Linked DNA regions of Oryctolagus cuniculus. The protein of the gene in region 2 interacts with the protein of the main gene of each other region in a biochemical or structural test. Links are inferred from orthologs where the notes say so. Each region holds a gene or a part of one and is shown on either strand. Other genes may lie near its edges.

What was found. The genes of interacting proteins can lie anywhere in the genome.
Region 1: the proteins of NGF (region 2) and NGFR form a complex in vitro, tested with the Homo sapiens proteins (2 studies listed by BioGRID and IntAct, with this or other methods). The link is inferred for Oryctolagus cuniculus from reciprocal best matches to the Homo sapiens genes NGF and NGFR.

Annotation. Positions count from the first base shown.
Region 1 is NC_091448.1:25,538,390-25,542,034, forward strand, and holds part of NGFR (tumor necrosis factor receptor superfamily member 16), read left to right. Parts: intron 1-371; coding exon 372-513; intron 514-3,645. UniProt on the Homo sapiens protein: Low affinity receptor which can bind to NGF, BDNF, NTF3, and NTF4. Forms a heterodimeric receptor with SORCS2 that binds the precursor forms of NGF, BDNF and NTF3 with high affinity, and has much lower affinity for mature NGF and BDNF.
Region 2 is NC_091438.1:55,015,977-55,019,721, reverse strand, and holds the start of NGF (beta-nerve growth factor), read right to left. Parts: upstream 2,476-3,745; 5' UTR 2,457-2,475; intron 2,381-2,456; exon of another isoform or gene 2,293-2,380; intron 1-2,292. UniProt on the Homo sapiens protein: Nerve growth factor is important for the development and maintenance of the sympathetic and sensory nervous systems.

The sequences.
Region 1 (3,645 bases), on a different chromosome or scaffold from region 2:
TGAGGCTTAGCGAGTGGAGTTTGGGCTAGATTTCAGCTCTGTTCGCCCCCTCGGCTGGGGGCCTGTGCAGGCTGCAACCTGCGCAGGTGTATCCTGTGGGCTCCAGGGGTGGCTGTAACCCCAACATGAACTTTGCAGAAGGTCAGCATCCCAGGCTCTGACCTGGTCCCGCCTCACAGCCTGCAGGGTGCACTGTCCCCCACTGTCTTACTTCCCCACTGGCTTTGATGTGCCTAATGCCTGCCTGGTGAGCTCATCCTGGCCCAGGTGGTTCCAATAGAAGGCGTTGGGGGGGGGGGGGGCGTCTGATCCCTTCCAAGACATCCCCCGTCTTTCTCTCCAGCCTGACCCTCTGATCTTGCCACACCCAGGTGTCCCTCGGAGGTGCCAAGGAAGCATGCCCCACGGGTCTGTACACCCACAGTGGCGAGTGCTGCAAAGCCTGCAACCTGGGCGAGGGCGTGGCCCAGCCCTGTGGAGCCAATCAGACCGTGTGTGAGCCCTGCCTGGACAGTGAGTAGAGGGTGGCTGGCGGGGAGAGGAGGGAGGAGTGGAAGGGAGGTGGAAGGGGGGGGGCTAAAGGGGGGAGCATGCCCATTAGAGGCCTTCTAAGTGCTCTGCCTCAGGGCAGGAACTCCTGCCTCCCCTATAGCATGGTCACCAGAAGTGGGGCTGCTCCAGTATGGGAGGCAGAGAGAAGCCGAGAATGAGAATGCGTGAGGGATGGGTGCAGAGGGAGGAGGGGGACCTGGTGGGGGATCCCCCCAGGGGTTGCTCCTTCCCAGCTCCCAAGCAAAGAAGCATGGGGTAGGAGAGCATGGCCAAGCACAGGAGGAGAAGCTGATGCCAAGCCCAGCTAAAAATAGCCACTGCAAAATCAATGGCTGCCACTGACCTTCCGTGAGCTTGGGGGAGGGGCAAGAGGATCCAATCCGGGCTGCCCTGGAGACTGACCTTGGGGGATCCTGGGAGGTTGAGGCCACCCCTCCCCCCAGCTCCGGCCAGGGCAGCAGGGACATCCTTACCATGGGCTGACATGGGGGGCAGGGGACAGGGGGACTGTTGCCACTGCTGCCTGAAGAGGGGTGAACCCTGCCTTCCAGAGCGGGAGGATGAGGGAGGCAGAGGGACAGCGGGTCCGGGCCCCTCAGCTCCAGCCTTGTCCAGAGTTCCGTGCGTTTCCAGTCATGAGTCTCAGTCCACGTTGGACGCCCCAGTCTTCAGTTGCTGCCTTAGGCGAGGGGCTTTTTCCTGCCTGCTTGGAGGCCGGTGGGAAGCATAGGCCCACTGGGAATGAGGGTGTAGGCCTGGGGAGTCTAAACCCATCCGCTGGCCTGGTCTCAGGTCCAGACATGGCCCCCTCAGTCCGCCTGTCCCTTGGGCAACCCCCTCTCCTTGGTGTACCCCAGGCATGCTCTTCTCCTCCCTGTACTGTGGGTGCTTATCTCACCACCCAGCAGACCGAAGCCTGGGCCCGGGGCAGGGGCGGGAGGGGGGAGGCTTTGCCCCCTGCACTGGCTCTGGCCTCATGGGGTTTGCATCGGTGGCGGGTAGAAGGTCCATCAACCATCAGCATCCTAGAACCTCCACAGCCTGCTGTTCTCACCACCCAAATGTGGCTGGGGAAATTTCCCTCCTGCTCGCTCGCTCACTCGCTCACTCGCTCTCCTCCTCCCCTCTCTGCTGCTCCCCCTCCCCACCTCCAGCTGGGTTAACAAGCCTTTACAAGCCCACTTTATGGCACGGAGACCCCAGTGGTCGTTCCCTCTACCCTCAAAATGTTTCCACAAGGAAACCTATTAAGCTCTTGCCTTCATTCTCTGCCAAAAACGACCGCATTTTTCACACCACCTAAAACTCTCTCCCAGGAGCTTTCTGTCCATTTGCTCTATTTTCCCACGGGCAGGGCTCGCCTCTCTGGCTCCCGTGTGACGAGACCCACTCCTCTGCCACGGGCCAGCCAGCCAGGCCCTTCTGGTTCATACAGATCCAACTCCAGCCTCAGCTGTTTGTTTGGAAGTCCCTTGTGCTGTCTGACCATGTCCCCAACCCGAGTCCTCTGCACTCACCATTGCACTGTTCCAGGCCCAGACTCTGTGGGATCCCTGCCATGTACCAAGTGCTTTTTAGTTTTTAAGATTTATTTATTTTTTTCATTTATTTATTTATTTGAAAGGCAGAGTGATGGGGGTGCGGGTAGGGGAAAGATCAAGAAATCTTCCATCCACTGGCTCAATCCCCAAATGGCCATAACAGCCAGGGCTGGGCCAGGCTGAAGCCATGAGTCGTGGACTCCATCCAGGTCTCCCACAAGGGTGGCAGGAACCCAAGTGCTTGGGCCGTCGTCTGCTGCTTCCTGGGTGTATTAGATAGGAAGGTGCTGGGACTCGATCCCAGGCCCTCTGATATGGATGTGAGTGTCCCAAGCTGTGGTTTAACCCTCTGAACCACAATGTCCACCACAGTGCCCAGGGTTAATTACGACGTTGTGGCATAGTGGGTAAACCCACTGCCTGCTGCTCCAGCATTCCATGTGGGCACTGGTTCAAGTCCCAGCTGTTCTGCTTCCAATCCAGATCCCTGTTAATGCAGCTGGGAAAGCAGGAGAAGATGGCCCAATTGCTTGGGTCCCTGCACCCACATGGGGGACCCAGAAGACGTCCCGGCTCCTGGCCCCTGGCTTTGTCCTGGCTCCGCCCCAGTCGTTGGGACTATTTGGAGAGTAAACCAGCAGATGGAAGCTCTCTCTCTCTGTCTCCCACCTCTCTCCCTGTAACTCTGCCTTTCAAATAAATAAAAATCTTAAAAAGAAAATTACAGCCAAATTTCTTCTTTTTTAAAGATTTATTTATTTGAAAGTCAGAATTACAAGAGAGAGAAGGAGAGGCAGAGAAAGAGGTTCTCCATCTGCTGGTTTACTCCCTAATGGCCGCAACGGTTGGAGCTGGGCCAACCCGAAGCCAGGAGCCAGGAGCTTCTTCTGGGTCTCCCATGTGGGTGCAGGGGCCCAAGCACCTGGGCCATCTTCTACTGCTTTCTCAGGCCACAGCAGAGAGCTGGATCAGAAGTAGAGCAGCCGGGCCTCATACTGGTACCCATATGGGATGCCGGCACTGCATGCATTGGCTTTACCCACTACGCTACAGCGCCGGCCACACAGCCAAATTTCATTCATTCCTCCCCACCAGCCTGCGAATGGAGATATTATTCCCCATTTTCTAGAAAAAGAAAAAATCTCAGAGAGGTCAATAAGGCACTCAGGGTCACACAGCGAATAAAGGATGGAAGTGGGTTTTGAATTCAGAGCTGCTGGCTCCCTGGGAAGAGAAGCCAGGGTCTCTGTCAGAGCTGGCTGGAAGCCGCAATCCCCCCCAGGCCCCCCTGCCTCAGCCTTCCCTTCTCTCATCCCCTGCCCCCTTCTGCCCCTTTCTCTCTGGTGGCTCCTCTCCTCTGCCTTCCATGCCTGCCCCAGGCTCCACGACAGCAACCCTGTGTCCATCTTGTCTCTTGATGCTTTTAGTTAAGGGAGAGACCTGACCCCATGGCTGCCTCAGTTTCCCTCGGCTGGGCTCCTCCCTCCCACCCCCTCCATGCTCCAGACAGCCCCGCCTTCCCTGGTCCTCAGGTTTCTAAATCCAAGCTCTG
Region 2 (3,745 bases):
GGGGTCTGTGCCTCGGCCCCACTCCATGCCCGGTACAGAAGAACAGTGACCGGCTCTGTCTGTGGTTCCCTCTGAAGCTCCGATGCGGTGTGTTCCGGCTGAGCACCCTCGAGTGAGCAGCAGCGGCACCCAGCACTCACCAGAAAGTAACGTTGTGTGATTTTCTCATCATTTGAATTTCAGCAATGATGAGAAACTCCCCTCGGGCTCCAGCCCTGCCCTGCCATGCCCTACCCTCCCTACCGATGTCGGCAGCTGGGGCCCCCTTCCTGGCCAAGGCACAGCTTTCTCCCAGAAAGGGAATGGGAGGGTGAAGCCTCCTCCCGGGTTCCCACTGGTCCTTGGGGTGGGAGGCGCAGCAGAAAGCGAGAGCCTCATTCCTTGCTAAGGAGTAAGTGTAGGGAAAGAGCCACAGCCACTAGGGTGACCACCCCCAGCAGGCCCAGTTCGCTAGGGGGCCTGGAGTAAGACGGCTGCCCAGGGAAGGCAGCAGTACCTATGGCTGCTTATCAAGTCCTCCGAGGTACTTGTCCGGTTCTATCCAGACGTGTGTTTCCAGGCCCAACGACCCGGCCTTCCTGTCTGCGGTGCCTCCTAACTGGCTGCTCTTCCAGGTGTCCCTTTTCTTTCCTGCCTACAGATGTTAGGATGCAGATGAGGGAGGAGTTTGGCCGCACGTGGCACGAACCCCTCCCCTTCCCCCTCCCCAGCAAGAGGGACACTCACTGCTCCTGAGAATCCATGCCAGATGCACTGGTCCTCAGCCCCCAGACCACTCTCACCCCGGGGGCCACCAGTGCTCCCTGGACCCCTGGGAATACTGCCATCCTGAGTTGGCACCAGGTGCCCACCTTGGCTATGACTTCCTCAACAGCAGAGGCCTGACGGCCAAAGGCAGCCTCTCCGCGTGCCTCTGCACAGGGAGCAAGAGTTCAGGCCAACCGGCGGACTTCACCGTCAGCTTCAGGAGGCTCAAGACCCCCGAGGGCAGCCCCTGGAGGGCCCTCCATCCCCGTTTCTGAATGTGCAGAATGCAGCTGGCCATGCCTGTGGTGGGGGGAGGGGCCTGGCAGGGCAGTGGGTGTGCCCAGCGGATGGAGCCAGGACAATTCATCAAGTGCCTTTTCTCCAGGATTTCCACTGGCCTCAGATGCCAGAGGGGGCAGAGACACCCAGGAGAGCACTATTTTGGTTTCCAGCTGGGAACGTGCACTGAGTTTTCCTTAATACCCACAGCACCCAAAAGGCTTTGCTGTAATACACGTTAACGCACAAAACACCCATAAATTATCCTTCAAACTGTTACAACTTCCAACCTGGAACAACTTGGAAAAACCAGCCTAGCAAGCAGGCTCTTTTTTAATCTCTCAAGTCATGAGAGAAGAGAAAGTTCAAGCAGAAAACACCTTCCACGAGATTCTCAGAGATCGGGGGGGGGGGGGGGGGGGAGAAGAGCATAAGCAAGCAGAGCTAAGTTGCTTGTTTATGTTGGCTCAAAGTTGTAGCTCCCTGACCCCTGAGTCCTCTCTCTCCCGCCCCTCCAGCCTCGCTGCCTGAACCCACGGCGCTGCCCACCCCAGCCTGCCGTTGCCAGCTCTCCCACACCTGGCAACACACAGCTAGAGGTGAGGCATGTGACCCAGGGGCAGGGCTGAGCCTTGGCGACCTCCCGAGGATGTGCAGCGCAGATGCTGAACCCCGGCACTTGGCGCGCAGGCTGCCAGTGTCAACCCGTGGAGGACCCCAGGCCGGACCCCCAAGGCCTTCTACGACGCGCGGGCAAGCCCTGAGACCCTCGCCCTATTCCTTGCACCAGCTCCAGCGCTCCCTGGCCCGCTCGTCCTGATACCTGCGGGCAGTGAAGCACTTTAGCCACTCCGGCGCCCGGAGCCCTCCGCGGCGCGGGCCACCACTCGCCAACCCCGGCGCGCTTGCTGCCCGCGCATCCCTCTCGCCACGCGCATTCGCTCTCCCTCACTTGCGCGCTGTCCCCTTCCGGCCCTCGAGCTGCTCCCAGGCATGGCCGTGCGGCTTCTGCAGGAGCCAGGTGGCCTCTCGCACTTCTGGCCATCCCGGGACCGTGCCCCAGGACCAGAGGGAGCGCTGCGCCCTTCCACCCGCCCGCCCGCCAGCCAAGGGTCTCGCGCCCTCTAGGGACACTCCTCTCGGGGGTGCCCGGAGAGCTCGCCCGACCGGGCTCCAAGCACAGTCTCCCGGGGAGCCCCGCCGCCCCGGCCCGCCAGCGCCCGCGCTGCACCCCTCTCGGGCTCGGCTCGGGGCAGCCTGACTCACCGCTGCGCTCCCCTCGGGCTCCCAGCGCTCTCTGCTGAGCCGGAGCGCCGAGCTGCTCCAGCACAGGCTTCTTGAATTCTTAGCCCCTCCTCCCGGACTCCTGAGTCACACCCGCTCTTAATTCTGCACCCCCACCCCACCCCTCCCCACCCCCAGCCCCGCACCTGCTGTGGCCACGCCAAGATGCCCGGCTGTAGGGGGTCCTGAGGACGAGCGATCGCTCTCTCCCGGGAGGGCTGGCAGGGCCAAGCCGGGGGAAGGATTCAGACCTCCAGAGGTCAACGAACCTCCGGGGGTCGAAGGGAAAGGCGCCGGGGTGGGAGCTGGCGCGCGGCCGAAGCCGGGCTGGGGCTTTTCTGGCGCTCCGGGCAGGGGTGCCAGCCCCCGACGCCCCTGAGCCGGGGCGGGGCGGGGCGGAGTTGCGCAGCGCTGCCCTCGCCGTCCTGCCCTGCCCCCGCGCGCTGCCGGCCGCCCGCGCCTCCCTGGTCTGCGCCACTTGGCCCTCGGTGCCCCAGGCGTTGGCTGCTCCCGCGCCCTGTGGAGGGGCTAAGCGAGCACCCGGGGGAGCCGCGCGGGGTGCAGGATGCCCTTGGCTCCTTTGCCACCAGGGCGGGCAGCAGCTGCCAGAGCCGGTGCTAGGCTCTGGGGGCGGGAGCGAGGTCGGCGTGGAGTTAGGGTCAGAGGACCTTAGGCGTCAGAATGTAGACCCTGGGCCTTAATTAAAGACTGTCCAGGGTCCCCAACCCTCCTGTAATCACAGGTGGGCTTGCAGTGTGTGCCGGATGCCTGCGTTTTTCTGGGTCGAAGATCCGCAGCTTTTGTTGGTTTTGCAAAGAGTCTTTGACCTCAAACTGATGTAGATGGCGACCCTGCCCACAAGCCCCCTTTATGCACACCTGAGGTGAGGCGGCCTTTCCAATACTTTGGGGTTCACGGCCTGACGGGGCTTTTGTCCATCGGGAGCCGGCTTGCCCTTCAGCTCAGGCCGTTTCCAGCCCAGCCCCAGGCTAGCCGGGGAGAAATACCCCTCAAACCAGAGTTCTCACCAGTGGGCATCATTAACCAGAATAACACGCTCCGGAACTACAAGTCTTCGCAAAACTGCATCCCTGCCCCTCCCTCCCTGCCGTGAGCTTGCCGGATGCGTTCGCTTACGGGCTTCGGCAGAGGCATGCCGAGTCCCTACCCTGTGTGGATGCTGCAGGGGAGGAATGGAAGCGGGGAGAGTGCTGGAGAGGGCGGAGGAGGGCTTGCGTCTCCCTGAGTTACTGGTGACTTCACACCTCACACCGGGCAGCACAAGCCAGAGGCAGTGCAGCCCAGCGCGCGGAGATCTTGGCGAGGCCCCGGGCTCCTGGCGGAAGTGCAGGGTGGCCGGTCTCCTTCAGCCTTGCCTGGGCATTGCCGATGCTCTTGGCTTAACTTGGCCTGAGGTCTCTGCTCCTTTCTCTCC